Saccharomyces cerevisiae S288C: one gene and its partners. The protein of the gene in region 1 purifies or fractionates together with the protein of each later gene. This does not show direct contact. Each region holds a gene or a part of one and is shown in the gene's direction. Other genes may lie near its edges.

What was found.
Region 2: the proteins of FAF1 (region 1) and UTP20 purify together in Saccharomyces cerevisiae (affinity purification with mass spectrometry; 2 studies listed by BioGRID). This does not show direct contact.
Region 3: the proteins of FAF1 (region 1) and UTP11 purify together in Saccharomyces cerevisiae (affinity purification with mass spectrometry, with the first as the bait; 2 studies listed by BioGRID). This does not show direct contact.
Region 4: the proteins of FAF1 (region 1) and UTP18 purify together in Saccharomyces cerevisiae (affinity purification with mass spectrometry, with the first as the bait; 2 studies listed by BioGRID). This does not show direct contact.

What each region holds. Positions count from the first base shown.
Region 1 is NC_001141.2:311,581-318,697, forward strand, and holds FAF1 (Faf1p), read left to right. Parts: upstream 1-3,512; coding exon 3,513-4,553; downstream 4,554-7,117. Other genes in the region: protein translocase subunit TIM44, read left to right, coding at 1-880; DNA-directed RNA polymerase II core subunit RPB3, read left to right, coding at 1,325-2,281; 1-(5-phosphoribosyl)-5- ((5-phosphoribosylamino)methylideneamino)imidazole-4-carboxamide isomerase HIS6, read right to left, coding at 2,455-3,240; 60S ribosomal protein uL2 RPL2B, read left to right, coding at 5,188-5,191, 5,592-6,352; glucose-induced degradation complex subunit VID28, read right to left, coding at 6,620-7,117. UniProt on the Saccharomyces cerevisiae protein: Required for pre-rRNA processing and 40S ribosomal subunit assembly. Seems to act in the processing of 35S rRNA at the A(0), A(1), and A(2) cleavage sites.
Region 2 is NC_001134.8:224,148-235,477, forward strand, and holds UTP20 (Utp20p), read left to right. Parts: upstream 1-3,488; coding exon 3,489-10,970; downstream 10,971-11,330. Other genes in the region: HTA2 (histone H2A), read right to left, coding at 11,247-11,330. UniProt on the Saccharomyces cerevisiae protein: Involved in nucleolar processing of pre-18S ribosomal RNA and ribosome assembly.
Region 3 is NC_001143.9:253,780-260,424, reverse strand, and holds UTP11 (rRNA-processing protein UTP11), read left to right. Parts: upstream 1-3,952; coding exon 3,953-4,705; downstream 4,706-6,645. Other genes in the region: CWP2 (Cwp2p), read right to left, coding at 894-1,172; YKL096C-B (uncharacterized protein), read left to right, coding at 1,203-1,352; YKL097C (uncharacterized protein), read left to right, coding at 1,512-1,922; MTC2 (Mtc2p), read right to left, coding at 2,582-3,655; YPF1 (aspartic endopeptidase), read left to right, coding at 4,965-6,645. UniProt on the Saccharomyces cerevisiae protein: Involved in nucleolar processing of pre-18S ribosomal RNA.
Region 4 is NC_001142.9:306,791-314,665, reverse strand, and holds UTP18 (Utp18p), read left to right. Parts: upstream 1-1,959; coding exon 1,960-3,744; downstream 3,745-7,875. Other genes in the region: MPM1 (Mpm1p), read left to right, coding at 1-552; YJL068C (S-formylglutathione hydrolase), read left to right, coding at 751-1,650; YJL070C (metallo-dependent hydrolase superfamily protein), read left to right, coding at 4,029-6,695; ARG2 (acetyl-CoA:L-glutamate N-acetyltransferase), read right to left, coding at 6,810-7,875. UniProt on the Saccharomyces cerevisiae protein: Involved in nucleolar processing of pre-18S ribosomal RNA and ribosome assembly.

The sequences.
Region 1 (7,117 bases):
GGCGAAGAAGCTGGATGAGAGTTTTGAGCCAGTGAGACAGACGAAGATTTACAAGGAAGTCTCAGAAGTCATTGACGATGGGGAGAGTTCCCGATACGGTGGGTTTATCACGAAAGAGCAAAGGAGACTTAAACGTGAGAGAGACCTGGCCTCTGGGAAAAGACACAGGGCAGTAAAGAGCAATGAAGATGCAGGAACAGCAGTGGTTGCGACAAATATCGAGTCTAAAGAATCGTTTGGTAAGAAAGTGGAGGATTTCAAGGAGAAAACCGTGGTTGGCCGTTCTATACAATCTTTAAAGAACAAATTGTGGGATGAAAGTGAAAACCCCTTAATTGTTGTCATGAGGAAAATAACCAACAAAGTGGGCGGTTTCTTTGCAGAAACAGAATCCTCCCGTGTTTACAGTCAATTTAAGCTAATGGACCCAACCTTTTCGAACGAAAGCTTCACCAGACACTTAAGAGAATACATTGTTCCCGAGATTCTCGAAGCGTATGTGAAAGGCGATGTCAAAGTTCTCAAAAAATGGTTCAGCGAGGCGCCATTCAATGTTTACGCCGCCCAACAGAAAATCTTCAAAGAACAGGATGTTTACGCCGATGGCCGTATCCTAGATATCAGGGGCGTTGAAATAGTGAGTGCAAAGTTATTGGCTCCCCAAGACATCCCAGTCTTGGTGGTCGGGTGTAGAGCACAAGAAATCAACCTTTACAGGAAAAAGAAAACTGGCGAGATTGCGGCTGGTGACGAAGCTAATATCTTGATGAGCTCTTATGCCATGGTTTTCACCAGAGACCCAGAGCAAATCGACGATGACGAAACAGAAGGGTGGAAGATCTTGGAGTTTGTGCGCGGGGGTTCTAGACAATTCACCTGATTGGTTTCGATGTACTCTTTTGTTTTCTTTTCCTTTTCCTTCCTATTCCGCTTGTAAATAACTCCGTTATGTCTCACCTTCGATCCCCACTTTTTCTTTTGGAATACTGCATCAAATAGGAAGAGAGAAAAAAGGAAATCATATCCCAATATATTTGAACATACGACACGATATACCTTATATAGTATCATCTGTACTAATAGTACTATAACTAATACTTCTTGACGGACAAGCTTCGCAACTCGTTCGCAATGACCAAGTTTGGCTTTCGGGAAGCAAAGTGGAAAAAAATGAAAAATAAACTAATTGAAGTGGTAAAAAATAAGCTGTGTGTGTGCATATACATCGTAAGTGCGTTGGCTGTTCTGTGGAAAAGGGAGACACTTTTTATATCAGGTGCAAAGGCTTCGTACCAGCGTTGAAAAACTAAAACAATATTGAAAAATGAGTGAAGAAGGTCCTCAAGTTAAAATAAGAGAAGCTAGTAAAGATAACGTCGACTTTATACTATCCAATGTGGATTTGGCTATGGCCAATTCTCTCCGTAGAGTCATGATAGCAGAGATTCCCACTTTAGCCATTGATTCAGTCGAAGTCGAAACAAATACTACGGTTTTGGCCGATGAATTTATTGCACACAGATTAGGTTTAATACCTCTACAAAGTATGGATATCGAACAACTAGAATACAGTCGTGATTGTTTTTGTGAGGACCACTGTGATAAGTGTTCAGTGGTGTTAACATTGCAAGCGTTCGGCGAAAGCGAAAGTACTACAAACGTCTACAGCAAGGACTTGGTAATTGTGTCTAATCTCATGGGCCGTAATATTGGGCATCCTATTATACAAGATAAAGAAGGTAACGGTGTTCTTATTTGTAAATTGAGAAAAGGTCAAGAATTGAAACTGACATGCGTTGCGAAAAAGGGTATAGCCAAAGAGCACGCCAAGTGGGGTCCAGCAGCAGCCATAGAGTTCGAGTATGATCCTTGGAATAAGCTCAAACATACCGATTACTGGTATGAACAGGATTCTGCCAAAGAATGGCCTCAGTCTAAAAATTGTGAATACGAAGATCCTCCAAACGAAGGTGACCCCTTCGATTATAAGGCTCAGGCAGATACATTTTATATGAATGTAGAATCTGTGGGGTCTATTCCCGTTGATCAAGTTGTCGTCAGAGGTATCGATACATTACAGAAAAAGGTTGCCTCAATATTGTTAGCTCTGACACAGATGGATCAAGACAAAGTTAATTTTGCATCGGGTGATAACAACACCGCTTCAAATATGCTGGGAAGTAACGAAGACGTAATGATGACGGGCGCTGAGCAAGATCCTTACTCCAATGCATCTCAAATGGGTAATACTGGATCAGGAGGGTATGATAATGCTTGGTAGTTCTCAAGTGGGCGTAATAGAGGAAAAAAAACAAGTGAACGAACCGAAAATAATAAGAGAAAAAAAGCTTTATATGCATGTATGTATCATTATGATTAGTATTATAAGTATTATAATCTAAAGTACGAAGCAAACAAAAAAGAAAAAAGAAAATGAAAAAATGAAAGGAAGGGCTAACCTTGCTTTTCATTCCATCTACAGCAGTCTTCAAACTTAACTAGGTTACCACCAAATATATCTAAGGAACTACCGAATGTCAAATCTACTTTTCCGTGACTTAGTTCGTCTACTAATTTCAAATCATCAACACTTTTGGCCCCACCAGCATAAACGATTTTCAAATCATCGTAATCTTTGGTCCATTCGAAAAGCTTAGAAACCAATAATTCATCGATACCACCACACAAACCTTCAACGTCTGCAGCGTGAATTAGAAACTCATTTGTATATTTCCTCAATTCTCTGAAAGTGTCAGCATTAAGCTCAAGATCAGTTAGAGTTTGCCATTTGTTCATGGCCACAATCCAACGACCGTCCTGGGTTTTTCTACAGCTTAAGTCTACAACAATGCGGTCTTTCCCACATAGTTCTGTCAGTCTTTCTAACCTTTTTAATTGAAAATGACCCTCTTTTGTAAATAGCCAACTCGTAACAATTACTTTACTGGCCCATTTTAACCATTCCAAACAGTTCGTATCATTAATTCCTCCGCCCACTTGTAGAAATTGTGGTGACTCCTGGAGTGCCTCGCGTGCAGCGTCGTCATTGTTAGGTCCCAACTTAATAACATGACATCCTTGGACATCTCTGTCTTTGTAAAGTTTAGCGTAATATGAAGAAGGATGTTGTGATACAAAGTTAGTTTTTGGAACGTCCTCCTTTTTGCTCGTTAACGTTCCACCTACAATCTGTTTAACCTCTCCATTATGCAGGTCTATACAACCAATAAACTTCGTCATTTTTTTCTAGTATATACCCCCAGCCTTCTTATGCGCAGTTTCGAAGATATTGTGAATTTGCAGGCGAGGATTCTCAAATTATTCCGTATGACTCTGCACACTAGACATGGCTCAATCTTGGCAATGGACCCTGTGCTGAATTTTCGTCATTCGTCTCATGCGACCGTTCCGTTCCTAGAAAAATTTTGAGCGATGAGATGAGTATACATTAACGATGGCAGGAACAGTTATAACAATATTGAGAGTACAAATGACCCAAAAGCCATAAAAAGATGACCCTTGATGATGACGACTATATAAAACAAATGGAGCTTCAAAGAAAAGCTTTTGAAAGTCAGTTCGGATCTTTAGAGTCCATGGGGTTCGAAGATAAAACAAAAAATATACGAACTGAAGTAGATACCAGAGACAGTTCAGGTGATGAAATTGACAATTCCGATCATGGTAGTGATTTCAAGGATGGTACTATAGAAAGTTCTAATTCTTCTGATGAAGATAGCGGTAACGAAACCGCGGAAGAAAATAATCAAGATTCCAAACCGAAAACTCAACCAAAGGTCATTAGATTCAACGGGCCTAGTGACGTTTATGTTCCTCCAAGTAAGAAGACACAGAAACTTTTGAGAAGCGGCAAAACTTTAACTCAAATAAACAAAAAATTGGAGAGTACTGAAGCCAAGGAAGAAAAAGAAGATGAGACTTTGGAGGCGGAAAATTTACAAAACGACCTGGAGTTGCAGCAATTTCTGAGAGAGTCTCACTTATTGAGCGCTTTCAATAACGGTGGAAGTGGTTCTACAAACAGTGGTGTATCGTTGACTCTACAGAGTATGGGTGGTGGAAATGATGATGGCATAGTATACCAGGATGATCAAGTTATTGGGAAGGCCAGATCGCGTACACTCGAAATGAGACTGAATAGACTCTCAAGGGTGAATGGTCATCAGGACAAAATAAATAAGCTGGAAAAAGTACCCATGCATATTAGAAGAGGAATGATCGACAAGCACGTCAAGAGAATCAAAAAATACGAACAAGAAGCTGCAGAAGGTGGAATTGTTCTATCCAAAGTGAAAAAGGGACAATTCAGAAAAATTGAATCTACATACAAGAAAGATATCGAGAGGCGTATCGGGGGAAGCATTAAGGCCAGGGATAAAGAAAAAGCTACCAAAAGGGAACGTGGTTTGAAGATCAGTAGTGTAGGCAGATCGACGAGGAATGGACTGATTGTATCCAAAAGAGATATTGCTCGTATCAGTGGAGGCGAGAGGAGTGGTAAATTTAATGGCAAAAAGAAATCCCGTCGCTAGATCAATTGTGATTCCATGAACTCACAAACAACTCGCCTAAGAAACTGTCTAAATTTTTATGCACTAAATAGACCACAAATGAGAACGTAAAGAGAAGCTTTTATCATTTTATTTCTCTTCTCCTTAGGAGGAAATACAAATATCTTTTCTACATTTAATTCAATCTGACAGTCAAAGTTATACATATACATTATACCGATTACCAAGTTTTCAGACTAGAACCCATACATTATTTTACAAACCCAGACAGTACACTATACAAAAACCCAAGCAATTGCAATCAATTTTTTTGCACGAAAATTTTATTCGAAATCGCCAACCCGCTAGGGAGAAAAAGAAGGAATTCTCAAAGGAGAGGCTGGACAGAGAGGTCGTCCCAGTCTACCGCCTACGAGTAATGTTGGATACTAAGCAGTTCCCAGCCTGAACGCTCTGCTGGATGGGTGGAGATTTCCCTCCAGGCGGGAACACTCCTGGTGGATTCTGCTCTGGAAACTATGCTGTGCATGCTACAGGTTTCAATAATCTTTCATACTTGACAAAAGTAGATATACATATTTTAAAAGATTGAGTTACTATTGATAAATCTACTATTTGTCATAAACTCACCAAGAAACCACAAAGTTATTGAACAATGGGTATGTTTTTATTATATCGCATAATTATGGCAAATGTTATGAAGGATTCCTCTATGACTTAGATGTTTTGAATCGGTACATTTTATTTTCAGTATCCTTCTGCATATTACAAGGCAACATAGCAGCGGACAAGAAAGCTTTTTTGATGTTCGTCTTCGAAACGATTACTATCAGGGTCTTTTAAATGCTATATCGGGACTTATTGAAATTGACATATTACACTTATGAATGACGTTGGCTATCAAAGTATGAGAATAAGCCTTTCCTACTATTTTGTATCATGACAACAGGGTTCTGTCGCTTTGAATGCGGCCTTTTACTTTGCCATATTTTGATAATGAAAAAACTTTCGAGAAATATTTACTAACAGGATCGAGAATTTTTTTCCTCATTTAAACAGGTAGAGTTATTCGTAACCAAAGAAAGGGTGCTGGTTCTATCTTCACCTCTCACACCAGATTAAGACAAGGTGCTGCCAAGTTGAGAACTTTGGACTATGCTGAACGTCATGGTTACATCCGTGGTATCGTTAAGCAAATTGTCCACGACTCCGGTAGAGGTGCTCCATTGGCCAAGGTTGTTTTCCGTGACCCATACAAGTACAGATTACGTGAAGAAATCTTCATTGCTAACGAAGGTGTTCACACTGGTCAATTCATTTACGCTGGTAAAAAGGCTTCTTTGAACGTCGGTAACGTCTTGCCATTGGGTTCTGTCCCAGAAGGTACCATTGTCTCCAACGTTGAAGAAAAGCCAGGTGACAGAGGTGCCCTAGCCAGAGCTTCTGGTAACTACGTTATCATCATTGGTCACAACCCAGATGAAAACAAAACCAGAGTCAGATTACCATCCGGTGCCAAGAAGGTTATCTCTTCTGACGCCAGAGGTGTCATCGGTGTCATTGCCGGTGGTGGTAGAGTTGACAAACCATTGTTGAAGGCTGGTCGTGCTTTCCACAAGTACAGATTGAAGAGAAACTCTTGGCCAAAGACCCGTGGTGTTGCCATGAATCCAGTTGATCACCCTCACGGTGGTGGTAACCATCAACATATTGGTAAGGCTTCTACTATCTCTAGAGGTGCCGTTTCTGGTCAAAAGGCTGGTTTGATTGCTGCCAGAAGAACCGGTTTACTACGTGGTTCTCAAAAGACCCAAGATTAATCTTTTTAATTTTGGTTTCTTCCTTCTGTCATATTATTTTATCAATTTTCTTAAATATTATATAATTTAATCCGAAACGTTCCTTATAAAGTGATATTTCTATGCATACTTTTTTTTCTTTGACATGAGAATAAATTCAGCCAGCTACTTCCTATCACAGAAATTTTAGTTAAACGTAAGCTTGCAGTTATGGATTCTTCTGCGAAAATACTATTTAAAAAACTATAGCATAAATTAATTGTAGGAAATACTACGAGTTCTGTGCATTCATTTAACTTTCAAAAGCAGGTCCATGTGATATAGTAACGTTCTGGCCTTTTCCCTGACAGATAATGATTCGTCTGTAATATTTTTTCTAACCAGATCGTATAATCCTACCTCCACGAGTTTTCTACATCTTTCCACCGTGGCACGTGTTACTTGTACATTTGATGTACTACCTTTTGCAGCCGGGGTGCGAACGAACTCATCGCCTTCATCATCACCCTCATCATTATCGTCATCTTCATCATCATTCGCATTGCTACTGCTATCATCGCCATCTGGCTCATCGTAGTATTTCCCCCTAGAATATCCACCAGCCACTGATTCATTATACCCGATTGTCACCGTAGATTGAGGGTTTTCTGAATCACTTGGTGAATGCCCTGGTTCCAGACCATTTTCAATTGCATATTGGGTATAATGTGAAACTGATGAATTCCAAAGTAAGTTATTGAGTACCCAGAGGCATGCCAATTTCAGATTGCTGTCATTACCATTACT
Region 2 (11,330 bases), on another chromosome or scaffold:
TTTCAATCTGATATTGAACTATATCCTGAGCAACCGAGAAATGTCCTTTCAAAAGCTGTGAGTCCAACCGATTCCACACCCCCGTCAACTCATACTGAAGATTCGAAACGTGTTTCTAAAACCAATATTCGCGCACCCAGAGAAGTTGACCCCAACATATCTGAATCTAATATTCTTCCATCTAAGAAGAGATCTAGCACCCCCCAAATTTCCGATATCGAGAGTACCGATTCGGGTGGTATGCATAGATTAGATGTTCCTTTACTTGCTCCCATGTCCCAATCTAACACACATGAGTCGTCGTACGCCAGTAAATCTAAAGATTTCAGACACTCAGACTCGTACAGTGACAATGAGACTAATCATACAAACGTACCAATATCCAGTACGGGTGGTACCAATAATAAAACTGTTCCGCAGACAAGCGAACAGGAGACTGAGAAAAGGATTATACACCGTTCACCTTCGATCGATACTTCCTCATCAGAAAGTAATTCACTACACCACGTCGTTCCTATCAAAACGTCAGATACCTGTCCTAAGGAGAATACAGAGGAATCTATAATTGCTGATCTTCCACTTCCCGATCTGCCTCCAGAACCTCCTACCGAATTATCAGACTCCTTTAAGGAACTTCCACCGATCAATTCTCGTCAAACTAATTCCAGTTTGGGTGGTATTGGTGACTCTAATGCCTATACTACTATCAACAGTAAGAAAAGATCATTAGAAGATAATGAAACTGAAATTAAGGTATCACGAGACACATGGAATACTAAGAATATGCGTAGTTTAGAACCTCCGAGATCGAAGAAACGAATTCACCTGATTGCAGCTGTAAAAGCAGTAAAATCAATCAAACCAATACGAACAACCTTACGATACGATGAGGCAATCACCTATAATAAAGATATTAAAGAAAAAGAAAAATATATCGAGGCATACCACAAAGAAGTCAATCAACTGTTGAAGATGAAAACTTGGGACACTGACAAATATTATGACAGAAAAGAAATAGACCCTAAAAGAGTAATAAATTCAATGTTTATCTTCAACAGGAAACGTGACGGTACTCATAAAGCTAGATTTGTTGCAAGAGGTGATATTCAGCATCCTGACACTTACGACTCAGGCATGCAATCCAATACCGTACATCACTATGCATTAATGACATCCCTGTCACTTGCATTAGACAATAACTACCATATTACACAATTAGACATATCTTCGGCATATTTGTATGCAGACATCAAAGAAGAATTATACATAAGACCTCCACCACATTTAGGAATGAATGATAAGTTGATACGTTTGAAGAAATCACTTTATGGATTGAAACAAAGTGGAGCGAACTGGTACGAAACTATCAAATCATACCTGATAAAACAATGTGGTATGGAAGAAGTTCGTGGATGGTCATGCGTATTTAAAAACAGTCAAGTGACAATTTGTTTATTCGTAGATGATATGGTATTGTTTAGCAAAAATCTAAATTCAAACAAAAGAATTATAGACAAGCTTAAGATGCAATACGACACCAAGATTATAAATCTAGGCGAAAGTGATGAGGAAATTCAATATGACATTCTTGGCTTGGAAATCAAATACCAAAGAGGTAAATACATGAAATTGGGTATGGAAAACTCATTAACTGAAAAAATACCCAAACTAAACGTACCTTTGAACCCAAAAGGAAGGAAACTTAGCGCTCCAGGTCAACCAGGTCTATATATAGACCAGCAAGAACTAGAGCTAGAAGAAGATGATTACAAAATGAAGGTACATGAAATGCAAAAGCTGATAGGTCTAGCATCATATGTTGGATATAAATTTAGATTTGACCTATTATACTACATCAACACACTTGCACAACATATACTATTTCCGTCCAAGCAAGTGTTAGATATGACATATGAATTGATACAGTTCATATGGAATACGAGAGATAAGCAATTAATATGGCACAAAAGCAAACCTGTTAAGCCAACAAATAAATTAGTTGTTATAAGCGATGCCTCGTATGGTAACCAACCGTATTATAAATCACAAATTGGCAACATATATTTACTTAATGGAAAAGTAATTGGAGGAAAGTCCACCAAGGCTTCATTAACATGTACTTCAACCACGGAAGCAGAAATACACGCAATAAGTGAATCTGTCCCATTATTAAATAATCTAAGTTACCTGATACAAGAACTCGACAAGAAACCAATTACCAAAGGATTACTAACCGACAGTAAATCTACAATCAGTATAATTATATCCAATAATGAAGAGAAATTTAGAAACAGATTTTTTGGTACTAAAGCAATGAGACTGAGAGATGAAGTATCAGGAAATCATCTGCACGTATGCTATATCGAAACCAAAAAGAATATTGCAGACGTAATGACCAAACCTCTTCCGATAAAAACATTCAAACTATTAACAAACAAATGGATTCATTAGATCTATTACATTATGGGTGGTATGTTGGAATAAAAATCCACTATCGTCTATCAACTAATAGTTATATTATCAATATATTATCATATACGGTGTTAAGATGATGACATAAGTTATGAGAAGCTGTCATCGAAGTTAGAGGAAGCTGAAGTGCAAGGATTGATAATGTAATAGGATAATGAAACATATAAAACGGAATGAGGAATAATCGTAATATTAGTATGTAGAAATATAGATTCCATTTTGAGGATTCCTATATCCTTGAGGAGAACTTCTAGTATATTCTGTATACCTAATATTATAGCCTTTATCAACAATGGAATCCCAACAATTATCTCAACATTCCCCCATTTCTCAGGAATCCCAACAGTTATGACAAAATTTATCAGAATTCCCAGTTTCATACATGTTTGATATTTATAGATAATTCATAATGACGGTTTATTTATTCTGGTAAGTTATGATATCATGTAAAACGAGGCAACTTGGCCGAGTGGTTAAGGCGAAAGATTAGAAATCTTTTGGGCTTTGCCCGCGCAGGTTCGAGTCCTGCAGTTGTCGTTATTTTTTGGACAGTAATAAGAGTACGTAAAGTCAATGGAATACGTGGTAAAAGCATCACGTTTATGTTTTATTAAAAGATTGGCATAGAACTTGGCCTTCTTCGTAACGACTTATCACCCGTTAAAAGTATGCTATATGAGTTATATCGGCTGCAGTGTATTTCTTCCTGGCTCATTTAAAGCTAATGAAATGTACCTCTCGCTTCATTTTCTAAGGTAGTGTTTTGAAGGCGTATGTATGTAATGTCACCCGGACTTTTGTAAAGAAAAAATTTTGAGTTTATGTCTTTCCGAAAATTTTTACCGATGAGCATTGAAAAGTTGCATTATTAAATTTGGTAGCGTAAAAACCACCGATTAAACAGGTAGTGTAGGTTGTAAATTAAAGATCATATTCTTTCCTGTTTACATCCAGTTTTACGTTGTTGGCCGTATTGGTATATTTCTAGTATCAGTTACACATATTTCATTGAAAGTATGGCTAAACAAAGACAAACTACTAAATCGTCTAAGCGATATAGATATTCTTCCTTCAAGGCTAGGATTGACGATTTGAAGATTGAACCGGCTAGAAATTTGGAAAAAAGGGTACATGATTATGTCGAGTCGTCGCATTTTCTCGCTTCCTTTGATCAGTGGAAAGAAATTAATTTAAGTGCCAAATTTACGGAGTTTGCAGCGGAAATTGAGCATGATGTTCAAACATTACCCCAAATACTATATCATGATAAAAAGATTTTTAATTCTTTGGTTTCATTCATTAACTTTCACGATGAGTTTTCTTTGCAACCGCTTCTGGACCTCTTGGCTCAATTTTGTCATGATTTAGGTCCAGATTTTCTTAAATTTTATGAAGAAGCTATCAAAACTTTAATAAATCTGTTAGACGCTGCTATAGAATTTGAGTCATCTAATGTTTTTGAGTGGGGTTTCAACTGTTTGGCTTATATTTTCAAGTATCTCTCGAAATTTTTGGTTAAAAAACTGGTACTCACATGTGATCTTTTAATTCCACTATTGTCTCATTCTAAGGAATATCTTTCAAGATTTTCAGCAGAAGCATTATCTTTTTTAGTAAGAAAGTGTCCTGTTTCTAACTTGCGCGAGTTTGTTAGATCAGTTTTTGAAAAGTTAGAGGGAGATGATGAGCAAACTAACCTCTACGAAGGGCTTCTGATATTATTCACAGAATCCATGACGTCAACGCAAGAAACTCTGCATTCGAAAGCTAAAGCTATCATGAGCGTTCTTTTGCATGAAGCTTTGACCAAATCATCCCCGGAAAGATCTGTTTCATTGCTCTCAGATATTTGGATGAACATTAGTAAGTACGCCTCAATCGAAAGTTTACTTCCAGTCTATGAAGTTATGTATCAGGATTTTAACGATTCTCTCGATGCCACCAATATCGATAGAATATTAAAAGTATTGACAACAATTGTCTTCTCGGAAAGTGGTAGAAAAATTCCTGATTGGAATAAAATTACTATCCTAATTGAAAGAATAATGAGTCAAAGTGAAAATTGTGCTTCGCTTTCACAGGATAAAGTGGCTTTCCTATTTGCTTTATTTATTCGTAACAGTGACGTGAAAACTTTAACATTATTCCACCAAAAACTTTTTAACTACGCTTTAACAAATATATCTGACTGTTTCCTTGAATTCTTTCAATTTGCTTTAAGGCTAAGCTATGAAAGAGTATTTTCATTCAATGGATTAAAATTCCTACAGTTATTTTTAAAGAAAAATTGGCAATCACAAGGAAAAAAAATTGCACTTTTTTTTCTAGAAGTAGATGATAAGCCTGAACTGCAGAAAGTACGGGAAGTAAATTTCCCAGAAGAATTTATTTTATCTATCAGAGATTTTTTTGTCACAGCAGAAATTAATGATTCGAATGACCTTTTCGAAATATATTGGCGAGCTATAATTTTTAAATATTCGAAATTACAGAATACAGAAATTATTATCCCATTGCTTGAACGTATCTTTTCAACTTTTGCATCACCAGATAATTTTACGAAAGATATGGTCGGTACACTCTTAAAAATATATCGTAAAGAAGACGACGCTTCAGGGAATAATCTATTAAAGACTATTCTGGATAATTACGAAAACTATAAAGAAAGTTTAAACTTTTTAAGAGGATGGAACAAGTTAGTGAGTAATCTTCATCCTTCAGAAAGCTTAAAAGGACTAATGTCACACTATCCAAGTCTACTCCTTAGCTTGACAGATAATTTTATGTTGCCTGATGGGAAGATTCGTTATGAAACTTTAGAATTAATGAAGACATTAATGATTTTGCAGGGTATGCAAGTACCTGACCTCCTTTCTTCATGTATGGTTATCGAGGAAATACCTCTTACACTACAAAATGCCAGAGATTTAACCATTAGAATCAAGAATGTTGGTGCCGAATTCGGAAAAACCAAAACAGACAAGCTAGTATCCTCTTTCTTTCTCAAATACTTATTTGGCCTTCTTACCGTTAGATTCTCTCCAGTTTGGACTGGTGTTTTTGACACTCTTCCTAATGTTTACACAAAAGATGAAGCCCTCGTTTGGAAACTTGTGCTATCATTCATTAAACTTCCTGATGAAAATCAAAATTTGGATTACTACCAGCCTCTTCTTGAAGATGGTGCAAACAAAGTTCTGTGGGATTCGAGTGTAGTGAGGTTAAGGGACACTATTGATACGTTCTCACATATTTGGTCAAAGTATTCTACTCAAAATACGAGCATTATATCTACTACTATTGAAAGAAGGGGGAACACCACCTACCCAATTTTAATTAGAAATCAGGCTCTAAAAGTTATGCTATCGATTCCTCAAGTTGCTGAAAATCACTTCGTCGACATCGCACCTTTTGTTTATAATGACTTCAAGACTTACAAAGATGAAGAGGATATGGAAAATGAACGTGTTATTACTGGTTCATGGACAGAAGTTGATAGAAACGTGTTTTTAAAGACTTTAAGCAAGTTCAAAAATATAAAGAATGTTTATAGTGCAACAGAATTGCACGATCATCTGATGGTACTGTTGGGTAGCCGTAATACAGACGTTCAGAAGCTTGCGTTGGACGCACTTCTTGCATACAAAAATCCAACGTTGAATAAATATAGAGATAATTTGAAAAATCTACTAGATGACACCTTATTCAAGGACGAGATTACGACTTTTTTAACCGAAAATGGGTCGCAGTCTATCAAGGCTGAGGACGAAAAGGTAGTCATGCCTTATGTCCTTAGAATTTTCTTCGGTCGAGCACAAGTCCCCCCAACTAGTGGACAGAAAAGAAGCCGCAAAATAGCTGTCATTTCAGTTTTGCCAAATTTTAAGAAGCCATATATTAATGATTTTTTGAGTTTGGCTAGTGAAAGGCTGGATTATAATTATTTTTTTGGGAACAGCCATCAAATAAATAGCTCAAAGGCTACCTTGAAAACTATCAGACGGATGACTGGTTTCGTTAACATTGTAAATTCTACTCTGTCTGTATTAAGAACAAATTTTCCTTTGCATACTAATTCAGTGCTGCAGCCGTTGATCTATTCAATTGCTATGGCATACTATGTCTTAGATACTGAGAGCACAGAGGAGGTACATTTAAGAAAGATGGCAAGTAATTTAAGGCAACAAGGTCTAAAATGTTTAAGTAGTGTCTTTGAATTTGTTGGAAATACATTTGATTGGTCTACTTCTATGGAAGATATTTACGCCGTTGTAGTTAAGCCTCGTATTTCACATTTTTCGGATGAAAACTTACAACAACCCTCCTCTTTACTAAGACTTTTCCTTTATTGGGCACACAATCCATCTCTGTACCAGTTTTTGTATTACGATGAATTTGCAACTGCCACTGCATTGATGGACACCATATCAAACCAACACGTTAAGGAAGCTGTTATTGGCCCAATAATTGAAGCGGCGGACTCAATTATTAGAAATCCAGTAAATGATGATCACTACGTAGATTTGGTGACTCTCATCTGCACATCATGTCTGAAAATACTTCCTTCGCTATATGTCAAACTTTCTGACTCAAACTCGATTTCCACATTTTTGAATTTGCTAGTTAGTATCACTGAGATGGGATTTATTCAAGATGATCATGTTAGAAGTCGTTTAATTAGTTCATTAATATCAATATTAAAAGGAAAGCTAAAAAAACTGCAGGAAAATGATACCCAAAAAATTTTGAAAATATTAAAGCTGATAGTTTTCAACTACAATTGTTCTTGGAGTGATATTGAAGAACTATACACTACCATATCTTCTTTGTTCAAAACATTTGACGAGCGAAACCTCAGGGTTTCCTTGACAGAGCTCTTCATAGAACTCGGTAGAAAAGTTCCTGAATTAGAAAGTATTTCGAAATTGGTTGCGGACTTGAATTCATACTCCTCATCACGTATGCATGAATATGATTTTCCTAGAATTTTATCAACTTTCAAGGGGTTAATTGAAGATGGTTATAAGTCCTACAGTGAGTTAGAGTGGTTACCTCTGTTGTTCACCTTTTTACATTTTATCAATAATAAGGAAGAACTTGCGTTAAGAACAAACGCATCCCACGCTATAATGAAGTTTATTGACTTCATTAACGAAAAGCCTAATCTTAATGAAGCTTCAAAATCGATTTCTATGCTGAAGGATATACTTTTACCCAATATAAGGATTGGCCTCAGAGACTCCCTAGAAGAGGTACAAAGTGAGTATGTATCAGTGCTATCATATATGGTAAAAAACACGAAATATTTCACCGACTTCGAAGATATGGCCATTTTACTGTACAATGGTGATGAAGAAGCAGATTTTTTTACAAACGTTAATCATATTCAGCTTCATCGTCGTCAGAGAGCCATTAAAAGACTAGGTGAACATGCTCATCAACTCAAAGATAACAGTATATCCCATTATTTAATTCCAATGATCGAACATTATGTCTTTTCGGATGATGAAAGATACAGAAATATTGGAAATGAGACCCAAATAGCCATCGGAGGGTTGGCGCAGCACATGAGTTGGAATCAATACAAAGCTCTTCTTAGAAGGTACATTTCTATGTTGAAAACCAAGCCTAACCAAATGAAGCAAGCCGTACAATTAATTGTTCAACTTTCTGTTCCACTTAGAGAAACTCTTCGTATCGTAAGAGATGGGGCTGAGTCGAAACTTACTTTGAGCAAATTTCCTTCCAACTTAGATGAACCCAGTAATTTTATTAAGCAAGAATTGTATCCGACTCTTTCGAAAATTCTTGGCACTAGAGATGACGAAACTATAATTGAAAGAATGCCTATTGCGGAGGCATTAGTTAATATTGTTTTAGGGCTCACAAATGATGATATTACTAATTTCCTCCCTAGTATTCTAACAAATATTTGCCAAGTTTTGAGAAGTAAATCCGAAGAATTAAGAGATGCAGTAAGAGTAACCTTGGGTAAAATCAGTATTATCTTGGGCGCTGAGTATCTTGTCTTTGTGATAAAGGAATTAATGGCTACATTAAAACGTGGTTCTCAAATTCATGTGTTAAGTTACACTGTCCACTACATATTAAAGAGTATGCACGGAGTCTTAAAACACTCCGATTTGGATACCTCGTCCAGTATGATTGTTAAGATTATAATGGAAAATATCTTTGGGTTCGCTGGTGAAGAAAAAGACTCTGAGAATTATCATACAAAAGTGAAAGAAATTAAGAGTAATAAAAGCTATGATGCTGGTGAAATTCTCGCCTCAAACATCAGCCTGACAGAATTTGGAACATTACTCTCTCCTGTGAAGGCTTTGTTGATGGTCAGAATTAATCTAAGAAATCAAAACAAACTGAGTGAATTATTGAGACGATATTTGTTGGGTTTAAATCATAATAGTGACTCTGAGTCAGAAAGTATCCTCAAGTTCTGCCATCAGCTTTTCCAGGAATCAGAAATGAGTAATTCCCCTCAAATACCAAAGAAAAAAGTGAAAGACCAAGTAGATGAAAAAGAAGACTTTTTCTTGGTAAATTTGGAGTCGAAATCTTATACCATCAACTCAAACAGTTTGCTTTTGAACAGCACTTTACAAAAATTTGCTTTAGACTTACTTAGGAACGTAATAACGAGACACCGCTCCTTTTTAACTGTCTCGCACCTAGAGGGTTTTATTCCATTTTTGAGAGATTCGTTACTTTCGGAAAATGAAGGTGTGGTAATTAGTACTTTACGTATCCTGATTACATTAATTAGGCTAGATTTTTCCGATGAATCTAGTGAAATCTTCAAAAACTGTGCGAGGAAGGTACTAAATATTATCAAGGTTTCTCCTTCAACTTCAAGCGAATTATGCCAAATGGGTTTAAAGTTTCTTTCTGCCTTTATACGTCACACAGATTCAACATTAAAGGATACTGCTTTGAGTTATGTTCTAGGGAGGGTCTTACCAGATTTAAATGAACCAAGCAGACAAGGCCTTGCTTTTAATTTCCTAAAAGCACTTGTTTCAAAACATATCATGCTTCCAGAACTCTATGACATTGCGGATACTACTAGGGAAATCATGGTCACAAACCACTCAAAAGAAATTAGGGATGTATCCAGGAGCGTTTACTACCAATTTTTAATGGAATATGACCAAAGTAAGGGTCGTTTAGAAAAGCAGTTCAAATTTATGGTCGACAATTTACAGTATCCTACCGAGTCCGGCCGTCAGTCCGTAATGGAATTGATCAATTTGATTATTACAAAGGCTAATCCTGCTTTACTATCCAAATTATCATCTTCCTTCTTTCTGGCGCTAGTTAATGTTTCTTTTAATGATGATGCGCCAAGATGCCGTGAGATGGCTTCAGTATTGATTTCCACCATGCTTCCAAAGCTTGAAAATAAGGACCTTGAAATTGTTGAAAAATATATAGCCGCTTGGCTAAAACAGGTTGATAATGCATCCTTTTTAAATCTTGGGTTGAGAACTTATAAGGTCTACTTGAAAAGTATTGGGTTTGAACATACTATTGAGCTAGACGAGCTTGCCATCAAGCGTATAAGGTACATTTTGAGCGATACGTCGGTAGGATCAGAACATCAGTGGGATTTGGTATACTCAGCTTTAAATACGTTCTCATCTTATATGGAAGCAACAGAGAGCGTTTATAAACATGGTTTCAAAGACATATGGGATGGTATTATCACATGTCTCTTGTATCCGCACTCATGGGTCCGTCAATCGGCGGCAAATCTTGTTCATCAACTCATAGCCAATAAGGATAAGCTGGAGATATCATTAACCAATCTGGAAATTCAAACCATTGCAACAAGAATTCTTCACCAATTAGGTGCGCCTTCTATTCCGGAGAATCTTGCGAACGTCTCAATAAAAACATTAGTTAATATCAGTATCCTATGGAAGGAGCAACGCACGCCGTTCATAATGGATGTATCAAAACAAACTGGAGAGGATCTAAAATATACTACCGCCATTGATTATATGGTAACTCGAATTGGTGGTATTATCAGGTCGGATGAACATCGTATGGATTCTTTTATGTCGAAGAAGGCGTGTATTCAGTTATTGGCCTTATTAGTTCAAGTTCTGGACGAAGACGAAGTAATTGCAGAAGGGGAAAAGATATTATTGCCGCTATATGGTTATTTAGAAACATATTACTCAAGAGCAGTTGATGAAGAACAGGAAGAACTACGCACTCTTTCAAACGAATGTTTAAAAATACTGGAAGACAAATTGCAAGTATCCGATTTTACAAAAATATACACTGCTGTCAAACAGACCGTATTAGAAAGAAGAAAGGAAAGGAGATCTAAAAGGGCAATTCTGGCTGTTAACGCTCCACAAATTTCTGCTGATAAAAAGTTGAGAAAGCATGCGAGATCGAGGGAAAAGAGAAAGCATGAAAAGGATGAAAATGGGTATTATCAAAGACGTAACAAAAGAAAGAGAGCCTAGCTGTAATATATCTTTATAACATGTATACTAATGAATAAAAAATCCAAGTTATAACGTCAAAGCTGTAGTACGTTAGCATTTCCGTAAGTAAAACCGTAAACTTGATACGTTTTTTATTTTCTTTATTAATAGTAATACTATACACTGTCTTTAATAAAACGACGCTATTTATAAAACTGTTAGATAAAAGACATACCAGTCTTCCTCATATGACCTACTTTAAAACCCCAAATGACAAGAATGTTTGATTTGCTTTGTTTCTTTTCAACTCAGTTCTTACAGTTCTTGAGAAGCTTTGGCAGTCTTGGCAGACTTCTTTGGCAACAAGTTTTGGTGAATGTTTGGCAAAACACCACCTTG
Region 3 (6,645 bases), on another chromosome or scaffold:
CCCTTAGTATTTGTCTAGTGGGGTTCTTCACTACTTACTCTTGAAGCATAAAAAAGAAAACAAGGCTAGCTCTAAAGCATCGTAGATGAATCTCATTAAGAAAATTCAGCATGTGCGAAGGAAGGTACAGTTTTAAAGTCGCATCAATGCCCATAATAAAGGGATTAATGGCACTGTGCTAAAATGTGCCAGGTCATGAAAATTTCATAGCGCATTGGCAAGCGACTTTAGCGCGCGCCAACGTGATATTTCTTGTAAGTTCAAATCCATCCGAGGGGCAATTGTAGTGAGGACAAAAGTTCATTGAGTTCTAGATTATTATTTTGTCACACGTCTCCCTTGAATTTGTAAAATATTTTATAAGTGGAAGTAAAGTATAGAAAATGGCAGAAAAAAAAGATCCCACCGTAGCACACCAATATCTTTCCCACTTTCTTTTGAACAGGTAACAGATAACGAAGATGGTAAAAAGATAAAGGGAAGAACGGTCAGCACTTTCGCCTATGTTTTTCACGCCTTGACTCTTTAATCGCAGCTAAGGGCGAAATTCTTTATGCACACTGGTCTGTTGAAACAAGCATGCATGTTTTTTTCACCTTAGGGGCGCAGGAAACATTGTGCATAGCCAAGATCTCAGCAAACTCGAAGAAACCCAGTCTCTAATACATTCATTTCGAGTTCAAATTTTTGACTCATTCGAAGAGAAATCACAGGAACATCGTTAAAGTAAAAAGTGTTTTATTTTTATGGTATCTACCTATTCAAAATAACAAAAATTATTTAAAATTATGTGTAAAAATATATTAACGAAAAGAAAAGAATCAAACACTTACCTAGTAAAACCGAAAATTTTGAAAAAAGCCATATAGATATTATAAAAAATCAGAGATTTCTTATAACAACATAGCAGCAGCAGCTAGAGCACCGGCACCCATACCGACAGCGGCCTTAGCAGCACCATTTTCAGTTTGTTGAGAGATAGTTTCGGTGCTGGATGGAGAAACAGTTTCAACGGTGGAAGATGGGGCAGCAGTGGTGGTAGCTTCGGTGGTAGCAGTGGTAGTAGCTTGGATTTGACCGTCAGTGATTTGAGAAATGGCGGCAGCGGATTCAGCGGCAACAAAGTTAGCCAAAGCGACGAAAGCAACGGAAGCGACAGTAGAGAATTGCATTTTTTTTCTTGTTAGTGTGTAGCGAATGTGATGAAGTTATTTATTCTTGATTATGAGAAGAAAAGAACAAAGATAGGAAAAGGGATGGCAAGAAGAGAATTGAAAATGATGAACAAGAAGCCTGATTTATATACGATTATTGTATCTTATTTTTCAATTTTTTCGTTGTTTTTTTTTTAGAACGTTACATTTCTCTGTTTGGCTTTTGGTCTACGGTTCCCCAAATGCAGTTAAAGAATGGCAATAATACGGAAAGGGAAATGCAAGAAAGAGGAAAAAGGACGGTTCCAGATTTTCTAATGATAAGCGCGAAATTTCCGCAATTTCTAGGGTAGTGGGATGTTCCTATTTACGTTTACCATTCTTGAGAGTGAAAAACTTATTATATGGCCCGTTCCGGCCGTGGTACTGGGTGTTATGGCCCCAAAACGCGCATATTCCACGCCTTTTGGGCCTTGGCCGGGCCCCGCGGAGTGCCTGTGGAATTGCCCTTCGGAGCTAAGGCAGTTCAGTTCGTGTTGTTTACCTCTGCCGAAACTGAGGCCGCCCAGGCCCACTTTCGCTTCTCTTTGGCGTGTTGTGGCGGCGATCGCTGCATTGTTTCAAGTGCCCTGGAGACGTAAAACAGGCGTGGGAAAAGCAATCTTCTGCATAGGTTGCTGCTGCCTAGCATATCAGTGGCGCAGAACGCGGTATTTTGCATACAAGATTATGACAGGAACATGCTTCATGACAGACTTGGCGCCCTAACATCCGCATCGGTGGAGGCAATGTAATACTGTGATACTATGTGGTTGTTTGCCATTAGTTGCACATTGCAATAAAAGGGTCGTCAAAAAAAGACGAGCAGCATAGTATCTGTAGCATTATTAATATGTCTAGGGGATGGCGTACGTTATGCTTCTCAGACGGTTTTCTAAGAAAAGCTTTGTCCCTTGCGGTGACCGCACAAAATAAAAAGGGGAGGCTAGCAATTCACTCATAGCACCTTGTCTATTAGAAATGGAATGCATACTGATTGTCCTTGCGCTTAATTGTCTATTGTAAATTGTAATCGCATGGTCATCTTTTAGTAGCATCTCTATTACTTCGTATTATGGTCAGTAAATGATTGACCAAGTGCAAGCGGAATCTTTCGTTGCTGGACTCAATTGGTAATGTCTATATACACTATTGCAAAGTAGTTAAGCCTTGCCATTTTCATTTCTCTCTTACTTTTTAGACCAAATATTTAGCTATTTACTTTGACCGATTTTGCTCATTTTTCGGGTCATGGCATAATGAATAAAAACAACAATTGGTTAACAAAACGATAAAGGGCAATTGACGCTAAGAATAGAAACTTTTAAATACCGTTTGTACGTATGTAAACATAGGTTCCAGATGCATGCTCGAAATACATAATAAACTTACACGGGCGGCACGACTTTACTTAGTACGTTTTTCACTACGAGAGATTCCAGGAAAAGGGGATTCTCAAACTCATTAACCTCCTCACACTTAATCTTCGCAAGTTTCTCTAGCATTTCGTCCACCAAGTTGGGGTCGCTACCGTACAATAAGGAACTATCCATGGAGGAACGCTGAACCAATTCCAAGTGCATGGGGAAGTACCACCTGGACGCCTCTTTGACATGTGAAGGTGACACAAACATCTTGCCGCTATGTAGACCAATTAATCTAGACAATAACACCACGTCGTCCAATGAATTTGTATATACCCCGCCGGCTTTGGCGTTATACGTCAATCTATGCGTTCGCAAATGGACCATGATATCGAGAATATACCGTCTTACAGTGGACCCCACAAATACATCGTTCAGATTTGCCTCTTCATTTAATATGATCGACCTCTTGCTCTCTGGCTCCTGCTTCTCTTCCTCAGCCATACCAATGCTATTATTGGCTCTTGTATTAATGCTAGACTCAGTTGAACTTTCAAAATCCAAATATGGGGGTGCACATGCAAACCAGAATTTGTGTTTGAGCCAAGCGCCCATACGGAAAGACGTGGGCAGGAAGATGCGAGTTTTGGGAGCTGGTTTACCTGCTTCATCCCCATCCTTAGCGGCGCCTGAAGGCTGCACGGGATTATTCCAATGAACCACTCCTATAAATATACGTGTTGACTGTGCCTTCTCAATCGCCACTGTGCAATCTCTCATAATTTTTACTAATTTCGCTTGGTCTGGCTGTAAAAGAGAATTTATGTCTGGAATGATAACAATCTCAAATTCCTTAACATGTGTAGTTGCTAACGAGTCCAAGCTTGCAGTTGTTGAGTTCAGAACCGTGACCTTTATTCCTCCGCCCGGATAAGCGTCATTGATTGCCCTCTTCAGTTGTATATCACAAGTACTTGGCATCGAAGAGGCTAATTTTTCCTTTGAGACGCTGTCTCTATACATACATAGAAAGCTCTTTTTAGCTGTAACAGAAAACTTCAAACATGTCTGAAAATCCGGCAGATTATGATCGCCCATTCCTATTTTTGCCACATCCAATCAATAATTTTGCAGCTCCGATTTTGCAGGTGTTGCTGTTCAATGGAAGTAATCGTTGTTATAAAGGAGCACATCACCAAGTCCTCTAAGGCTTAAAGGTTTGTCGTTATGCACGTAAAAGATGAAATTTTTTTATGGCTAGATGAGCTCATCGCGATTTGAAGAAAAAGAGTAAAGAAAACAATGCTAAGAAACTACAATAAGAGCAAGTTGCATATCATCGAATAATACTAGTGGGGTTTTCTAGTTCGTTACAGCCAACAACAGACAAAAGATATGGCTAAACTTGTACATGATGTTCAGAAAAAGCAGCATAGAGAACGTTCTCAGCTAACTAGCCGTTCCAGATATGGGTTTTTAGAAAAGCATAAAGACTATGTGAAACGTGCTCAAGACTTCCACAGGAAGCAGTCCACTTTGAAAGTCCTCAGAGAAAAAGCAAAAGAGAGAAATCCAGATGAATACTACCATGCTATGCATTCAAGGAAGACAGATGCAAAAGGACTGCTGATCAGCTCACGTCACGGTGACGAAGAAGACGAATCGCTTTCCATGGATCAAGTTAAATTACTCAAAACGCAAGATAGTAATTATGTGAGGACGCTGAGGCAAATAGAGCTGAAAAAGCTGGAGAAAGGAGCGAAACAGTTGATGTTCAAAAGCAGTGGGAATCATACAATATTCGTCGATTCCCGAGAGAAGATGAACGAATTCACCCCAGAGAAGTTTTTCAATACCACCTCCGAGATGGTGAATAGATCTGAAAATAGATTAACTAAGGACCAATTAGCCCAAGATATTTCAAACAATAGGAACGCTTCATCAATAATGCCAAAGGAATCATTAGACAAAAAGAAATTGAAAAAGTTCAAGCAAGTCAAGCAGCACTTACAGAGGGAAACTCAATTGAAACAGGTCCAACAAAGAATGGATGCTCAAAGAGAATTGTTGAAGAAGGGTTCCAAGAAAAAAATCGTAGACTCTTCAGGAAAAATTTCATTTAAATGGAAGAAACAACGGAAACGTTAGATTTTTACCATCTATATAGTATATATAAGTGAATCAGGCAGACGTTCCGTAATCCTTCTTTTCATGTTTTATAGGATTACGTTTATAAAAAGTATTCACTTTTCTTAAGTGTCTTTTGCGCCATCAAAAAAAAAAGGATTTTGAGGCACCGGAAAAAAAAGAACCCCTCTCCGAATGGGAGTATTTAGGACAAGATTTGTAAAGTGCTCCCTTTTTGAGCAATACTACAGATCTATAATGGGGAACAAACTCATACACGATGGACAAGTATTTGAATTCATTTGTTGACCACCTTTCAGAGTGGTCATCTCGTGCCTTTAGGAACAATTCATCAAGCGCTAACCAAAGTGCGTCGAACAAGGAATTAGAACAAGTTTTTGAACAGATCAATGCTATAGTTGAAAACCACAATAACAAATTAACCACTGCCTTTGATAAGATATCATATCGCGTTGCTCACAAGATTACACACTTGGTGGAAAGCCATTCTTTAGTATTCAACTACGCCACTTTAGTTCTCATCGCAAGTGCTTTGGTCGTTATTGGCTCATTTACGTCTATTTCTTCTATTCCATTTACAGCTCTACCTCCTACGAGAGAACACTCATTGTTTGATCCTACAGATTTTGATGTGGACCACGACTGTCATGTTATCTACCGCGAGAATGACGAAGATAAAAAGAAAAAGAAGAAAAGCAAGAGGTTTTTCGATATGATGGATGAAAAACATGCGATTATACTGCCCTTAACTAGTGGCTGTACTTTACTCGCTCTCTATTTTGTGATCAAGAAACTACACCTAAACTGGCTAAAATATGTGGTGAAAATTTTGAATTTTAATATAACACTGCTAAATATCCCAGCTGGCACATTTGTCTACTCCTACTTTCTCAACTCACTTTTCAGAAACCTATCACATTTAGCTTCTTGGAATCCCCTGGTTGTTTTACCAAGGTATCGTGTAACAATAGCTGATGATAACGAAGACCTGAACAAGATAGGCGGGTTTGTTACCAATTTGAATTACAAAGATGGATTGACCAACTCAGTTGTTCACAAGAAAACATTGGATGAGATTGAAAAAGATCATTGGATGAAGCATTTTTACAGAAGAGAATTAGTTGAACCGAAGGATATTAAATCGAAGAGGCAGATCAGCAACATGTATTTGAATAGCGCATTAATTGTTTCGTTCGTTCTGTCCATCGTTTCTACCGTATATTTCTATTTATCACCCAATGATTGGTTAATATCCAATGCTGTCAGTATGAATATGGCTATTTGGTCCATTGCTCAATTAAAATTGAAGAATTTAAAATCAGGGGCCCTAATCCTAATTGCTCTATTTTTTTACGACATTTGCTTTGTCTTTGGTACCGATGTAATGGTTACAGTAGCTACTAACCTTGATATTCCCGTAAAACTAAGCTTACCAGTCAAGTTTAATACAGCTCAAAACAACTTCAATTTTTCAATACTTGGTCTGGGTGATATTGCCTTGCCTGGTATGTTTATTGCGATGTGCTACAAATATGACATCTGGAAGTGGCACCTTGATCATGATGACACTGAATTCCACTTTTTGAACTGGTCATACGTTGGAAAATATTTTATTACTGCTATGGTTAGTTACGTTGCTTCTTTGGTATCTGCCATGGTCTCCTTGTCCATTTTCAATACTGCTCAACCGGCTTTATTATACATTGTTCCTTCCTTGTTGATTAGTACTATTTTGGTAGCTTGCTGGAACAAGGATTTTAAGCAGTTTTGGAATTTTCAGTATGATACGATTGAAGTGGATAAAAGTTTAAAAAAAGCGATAGAAAAAAAGGAGAACTCTATAACTTATTCGACCTTCATCCTATCAGAATACTATAATGATGCCGACAAGTATGCCTTGCTTGGTGATGATGTAAACGAAAATTTTGACGATGATGAAG
Region 4 (7,875 bases), on another chromosome or scaffold:
GGAATCCCTACGGTGAAGCAGTTTGACAAGTGCGAAGAACTTAAGGGCCAGTCTGCATGGACCACCCAAGGGATTTGGAAATGTCTTGTCCCAAGTAAGGCTATCCCCCCTCTACCACAATTGGACTTCCTCTTACCTCTGGAGGAGATCAAATCTGACAAGTCGCACTCTCATGGGTTGTTCTTCAATGATTTCAACCTCTTTTTGAAGTGGAGGTCGCACATGAATAGACTACAAAAACAAAGAATCAAGACTAGGAGCACTGCCGTAGAGCCTCTGGCTAGAACTCCAGAAGACCTCATGTTGAATTGGGACGACTTGCATCTGGGCAACGATGCTGAATATGCTTCTGCAGATGGATCCAAGAAAATTGTTGGAAGGGCACAGTCCATTAGTACCACGAAGGATTCCAATGATGCAAAACCCAGCACCGTCAAAACTGAAAAAATCTACTTTGACGATGGCACGGTAGACATTACTACCACCACTACCTCCAAGGGTTCCAGTCCCCAGGTGAAGCATAAAGTGGTGAGTGTTGACGAAGACAATTAGGACATATTTTCGTTTCCTTTTTTTACTCATATCTTACACAATATGCCTTGTATATATCGCACGATTATGACCTTGCGCGTGTGGAAAACATGCGACTGCTAAGGGGAGATCCACACACACACACACAAAAGATCAATACACATTTTTGACAATATATAGCATCAATAAAATACATATAAGCGATTCACATAGTTCAATATGAAGGTTGTTAAGGAATTTAGTGTCTGTGGTGGCAGATTGATCAAGTTGTCACATAACTCGAACTCTACCAAGACCAGCATGAACGTCAATATCTATTTGCCTAAGCACTATTACGCCCAAGATTTTCCAAGAAATAAGCGTATCCCAACTGTGTTTTACCTTTCTGGCTTGACGTGCACGCCAGACAACGCCTCTGAGAAGGCTTTTTGGCAGTTTCAAGCTGACAAGTACGGATTTGCAATAGTCTTTCCGGATACGTCCCCACGTGGTGACGAAGTAGCCAATGATCCTGAGGGCTCCTGGGATTTTGGACAGGGCGCCGGATTCTATCTAAATGCCACCCAAGAACCATACGCCCAACATTACCAGATGTACGACTACATTCACAAAGAACTCCCACAAACATTAGATTCTCATTTTAACAAGAACGGTGACGTAAAGCTGGACTTCTTGGACAATGTTGCCATCACAGGCCATTCGATGGGGGGATATGGTGCAATTTGTGGGTATTTGAAGGGCTATTCCGGAAAGAGATACAAATCTTGTTCTGCCTTCGCCCCTATCGTGAACCCTTCCAACGTTCCCTGGGGTCAAAAAGCGTTTAAAGGTTATCTGGGCGAAGAAAAAGCCCAGTGGGAAGCGTACGACCCATGTTTATTAATCAAGAATATTAGACATGTGGGCGACGACAGAATTTTGATCCATGTAGGAGACTCCGATCCCTTTTTGGAAGAACACTTGAAACCGGAATTACTACTTGAGGCGGTGAAAGCCACTTCATGGCAGGACTACGTGGAAATAAAAAAAGTTCACGGCTTTGATCACTCCTATTACTTTGTCAGCACTTTCGTTCCAGAACATGCTGAATTTCATGCGCGAAACTTGGGTTTGATTTGAGAGGCATCGCATTTCATTATGGTAATTTTTATGACTTTTCTATGTACATATTTAGTGAAATATACGTCCGTAGAAAAAAATGGCCAAACATAGTTATCCTTTCAAAGGTTATTCGCAGTAGATTTTATGTCACCTGTAACTTCCATTACTATTGCTATTATGTGGTTAATTGGCATCACATCCGACGAATTTAATAATATGAAATGAAAAAAACGAAAAATAAAAAAATTTCACCTCATCTCATCGATCACTCTGGTCCTGTTGTGGTATCGTTCTTGAAAGTGTATATCAGCCTACATTAGTGCGACAATGACAATGGCAACAACCGCAATGAATGTTAGCGTACCTCCACCAGATGAAGAAGAACAGTTACTAGCCAAATTTGTATTCGGTGATACAACAGATTTACAAGAAAATCTCGCTAAATTTAATGCCGATTTCATTTTCAATGAACAAGAAATGGATGTTGAAGACCAGGAGGATGAGGGATCTGAATCAGATAACAGTGAAGAAGATGAAGCGCAGAACGGTGAATTAGACCATGTTAACAACGATCAGTTATTTTTTGTGGACGATGGTGGTAACGAAGATAGTCAAGATAAGAATGAAGATACCATGGACGTGGATGACGAAGATGACTCTTCAAGCGATGATTATTCTGAGGACTCTGAAGAAGCTGCTTGGATAGATTCGGATGATGAAAAAATTAAAGTGCCTATTCTTGTTACCAATAAGACAAAGAAATTAAGAACCTCCTATAACGAGTCCAAAATCAACGGTGTTCATTACATCAACAGATTGAGATCTCAGTTTGAAAAGATATATCCAAGGCCCAAATGGGTGGACGATGAATCTGATTCTGAATTAGATGACGAAGAAGACGATGAAGAAGAAGGCTCTAATAATGTTATTAATGGAGATATTAATGCTCTAACGAAGATCCTGTCTACTACTTACAATTATAAAGACACTTTATCGAATTCCAAACTATTACCCCCTAAGAAACTTGACATTGTGCGTCTTAAAGATGCAAATGCATCACACCCGTCTCATTCCGCCATACAATCTCTTTCATTCCATCCTTCTAAGCCTCTACTGTTAACGGGTGGGTATGATAAGACCTTAAGAATATATCATATTGACGGGAAAACGAACCATCTAGTGACAAGTTTGCACCTGGTTGGGTCTCCAATACAAACATGTACTTTCTATACTTCTCTATCAAACCAAAATCAACAAAATATATTCACCGCCGGTAGAAGAAGATATATGCATTCCTGGGACTTATCCTTAGAAAATTTAACTCATTCACAGACTGCCAAAATCGAAAAATTTTCCAGATTGTATGGACATGAGTCCACTCAAAGATCATTTGAGAATTTCAAAGTTGCACATTTGCAGAATTCACAAACAAATTCTGTCCATGGAATTGTCCTTTTACAGGGTAATAATGGTTGGATTAACATTTTACATTCCACTTCCGGACTATGGTTAATGGGCTGCAAGATAGAAGGTGTGATAACGGATTTCTGTATCGATTATCAACCTATTTCACGTGGTAAGTTTAGGACCATTTTAATTGCTGTAAACGCGTATGGTGAAGTGTGGGAATTTGACTTGAATAAGAATGGCCATGTTATAAGAAGATGGAAAGACCAAGGTGGCGTGGGTATAACAAAAATCCAAGTTGGTGGTGGGACAACAACTACTTGTCCGGCTCTTCAAATAAGTAAGATAAAGCAAAATAGGTGGCTTGCGGTAGGTAGTGAGAGTGGATTTGTTAATCTTTACGATAGAAATAATGCTATGACCTCGTCGACCCCTACACCTGTCGCCGCCTTGGACCAGCTAACAACTACCATTTCTAATCTACAATTTTCCCCTGATGGTCAAATACTGTGCATGGCATCCCGTGCAGTCAAGGATGCTTTGAGACTAGTTCATCTGCCTTCTTGTAGCGTGTTCAGCAACTGGCCTACCAGCGGGACGCCTTTGGGTAAAGTTACCAGTGTCGCATTTTCGCCATCTGGTGGGCTACTGGCCGTGGGTAACGAACAAGGTAAAGTGAGGCTCTGGAAATTAAACCACTACTAAATTTCCATTTATAGACAAACTTAGATATTAAAAGCAATGTACAAATACATACACAAAATATCACTGTAAAAAAATTGCGAAGAAACTTGAAATTGAATATGATTCTGCCCACTTTTTTCTTGCTGTCATTTATAGTCAGAAATGAAAAATTGTCCGAGAAATTAAATATAATATATGGAAAAAAAGGGGACATTGAGTTTAAAGAATTTGATTAAAATGTCCTCTCAATATCCTCTGTAAGAGTTATCTAAATCTCACTTTACTTATTCATCTCGCTGGGAATTATGCAGGCGGTAGAGAGAAGGCCCTCGTTACTCTTTGACGAATATCAAAATTCTGTTACTAAGCCTAATGAGACGAAGAATAAAGAAGCCAGGGTCTTGTCAGAGAATGACGGTGATGTCTCCCCATCTGTTTTGAAACAGAAGGAAATATCAGTCGATGATATGGATATGATTTCTTTGCCCACGGAATTTGACAGGCAAATGGTTTTAGGTTCACCTATGTTTTTCGATCTTGAAGACGAAGAAAACAAAATTGATCCACTTCCTTCAGTTTCCCATCATTATGGAAATGGAGAAAGTGACAGCTTTGTCTCATCGTACACGCCCTCAAATCTGAAAACGGGTGAAGAAACTAAAGATCTTTTCATTAATCCGTTTGAATTGGTTTCTCAAATGAGAAAAAGATACATTGCTGCTTCCAAACAAGATGGCATTTCAAACATAAAAAATGACACTGAAAAGTGGTTTTTATACCCAAAACCACTGCCAAAGTTTTGGAGATTTGAAGACGATAAACGATTCCAAGATCCCTCTGACTCTGACTTAAATGACGATGGAGACAGTACTGGGACCGGAGCCGCTACACCGCACCGCCATGGCTACTATTACCCAAGTTACTTTACCGATCACTACTACTACTACACAAAATCTGGTTTGAAAGGAAAAGGAAATATAAAAGTACCATACACCGGTGAATATTTCGATTTAGAGGATTACAAAAAACAATACATTTACCATTTAAGTAATCAGGAAAATACGCAAAACCCACTTTCACCTTATTCTAGTAAGGAGGAGTCACTAGAGGAAGAATTTTTAACAGATGTGCCTACGTTTCAAGAATTTAGGGATGATTTTGCATACATAATAGAGTTAATCCAATCTCATAAATTCAACGAGGTTTCACGAAAGCGATTATCTTATTTATTAGATAAATTTGAATTGTTTCAGTACCTAAACTCTAAGAAAGAAATTTTAGCTAATAAAAATGTTCCCTACAGAGATTTTTATAATTCTCGTAAGGTAGATCGAGACTTGTCTTTAAGTGGTTGTATTTCTCAACGTCAATTGAGTGAATATATATGGGAGAAAATAAATTTAGAACCTGAAAGGATAGTTTATCAAGACCCGGAAACGTCAAGGAAACTCAGTTTGAGAGACATTTTTCAGTTTGGTTGTTCTTCTAATGACCAACCCATTGCGATTGGGTTGAAATTGATTGATGATGAATTCTTGGATTGGTATAGAAATATTTACCTAATAGATTACCATCTAACTCCTAACAAAGTAGCAAAGTTGGTCGGCAAAGAAATGAGGTTTTACCTATTAGCCAAAGTGTTTCTGGAGTTTGATAATTTCATTGAAGGTGAGTACCTAGCAGAAATTTTCATAAAATACGTTATTCATATCCTCGAAAAATCAAAGTACCAATTGGCCCAAGTATCAGTTAATTTTCAATTCTATTCCAGTGGTGAAGACTGGTACAAGAAATTTTCTCAATGGTTGCTACGATGGAAGCTAGTATCGTATAATATCCGCTGGAATATACAAATTGCCAGGATTTTTCCCAAACTATTCAAGGAAAATGTCGTGTCAAATTTCCAGGAGTTTTTGGATCTTATCTTCAATCCTTTATTCACTCTGGAAAAGGAGCAGTTACCAATAGATTCATCTGTAAATACTGATATCATTGGTCTGCAGTTTTTTTTATCAAATGTGTGTTCTATGGATCTGGTCATTAAAGAGTCGGATGAATATTACTGGAAAGAATTTACTGATATGAATTGTAAGCCAAAATTTTGGACAGCACAGGGTGACAATCCAACTGTTGCGCATTACATGTATTATATTTATAAAAGTTTAGCGAAAGTTAATTTTCTGCGGTCACAAAATCTTCAAAATACAATCACCCTAAGAAATTATTGTTCTCCACTATCCAGCAGAACTTCCCAATTTGGAGTGGATTTATATTTTACAGATCAAGTTGAATCGTTAGTGTGCAACTTACTGCTTTGTAATGGTGGTCTGCTACAGGTAGAACCGCTTTGGGATACTGCAACAATGATTCAATATTTATTTTATCTCTTTCAAATACCCATTTTAGCTGCGCCATTATCATCTGTTTCATTACTGAATTCGCAAAAATCGACCTTTTTGAAGAATAAAAACGTGCTTCTAGAACATGATTATTTGAAAGACCAGGAAACAGCCAAAATCAATCCTTCTAGAGATATCACTGTGGGCGAACAAAGATCATATGAGACAAATCCTTTCATGAAAATGTTTAAGATGGGACTAAAAATTTCTTTATCATCAAAATCGATTCTTTACAATAGTTCATACACGCTAGAACCTCTCATTGAAGAATACAGTGTAGCAGCAAGTATTTACTTGCTGAACCCAACAGATTTGTGCGAGTTGTCGAGAACAAGTGTGCTATCTAGTGGCTATGAAGGTTGGTACAAGGCTCATTGGATTGGCGTTGGAGTTAAAAAGGCGCCTTACTTTGAGGAGAACGTGGGTGGGATAGATAATTGGTACGATACAGCGAAAGATACCTCGATAAAGCACAACGTTCCGATGATTAGAAGAAGATATAGAAAGGAGACATTGGATCAAGAGTGGAACTTCGTTCGGGATCACTTTGGAGTAATTAACTCCATTTGGTAGGGTAAAGTGAAATATCAACAACTTTGCATAGTAAGATATATATATTTATATAGATACCTTAAAAACTGAAAATGAAAACTTGAAAGTTAAGGAGGAGGAGAATGCGTCTTTGTTTCATGAAATATTTTTTTCATTTTCCCAACTTGGCTTGATGTCCCTGACAGACCTCATGAATTCTCTTAAACGTTTCTTGTCACGTAGTGCCCTCTTAGCGTATTGAGGGTTACCGTAGTAAAATAGTTTAAATTGGCTTTGCTTTTCATCACAGTGTTCGGGGTCTAAGTCAATCGACAAATCTAGCACAGCAACGCTACGTTGAAAATACCACTTGTTCACCACATTGTCTTTTCTGCTTCTCCAAAGTATCTCATTAGGAAATTTTTTGAACATCAAATTGAAGATTATATCAGATATACCCAGCGAGCCTTTCAAGTGTGGTAGAACGGCGAACTTATCGAGATAAACAAAGGAATTTTCCTCCGAGCCTTCATAGGTAAGAATTGCAATGCCTTCATAATCACCTATCACAATAATTGTAGCTATTTTTCCATTAATCCTTTTTATGTAGTCATGCAAATCCAAAGATCTTTTAAAGCTCTGATCGATGATGGATTTAAATTTGTTGATATCTAGTTTTGGACTATTGCTCGAGGGTTTTGCTCCTTTCTCAGGTACGTGAAACTTCTTTGGAAGCCCAATTGAGTTGAATTGAGTCAGCGTCTTATAGTCATAAGTTTTGATATGGACGCCCTTTTTGAGAACAGTTGTCACTAAAACTGCATCTGAGTTAGAAGGAGCTGCATTTACCTGTTGGGAAGGCAATTCATACCATGCGTGATCATCAAACATGTTGGCTGGTGAGTCTATCTCGCCGTCCTTTTTTTTAAACCTTGGTAAAGAAGAAGAAATTAGCGATCGGTCTGTCAATAAATTATATACTAAAGGATTTTTCCTATCTGATGATAGTGCGGCAGCTTTGACAGTTGTAATCAGTCCCGTTGCTGTAGCCGCTAGATTTGATAAAACTTTGTCCATCAATAACAGGTTTTCTAAATGATCATGGTATTCACATTCTAAGGAAGATATCTCATCTTTTTTAACGTACACCTCCATTCTGTGTAACAGGTTTTGGGAGCGTGGCTCTCGTTTGGTTAGAGTGCTTATATTGTGAGATAATGAC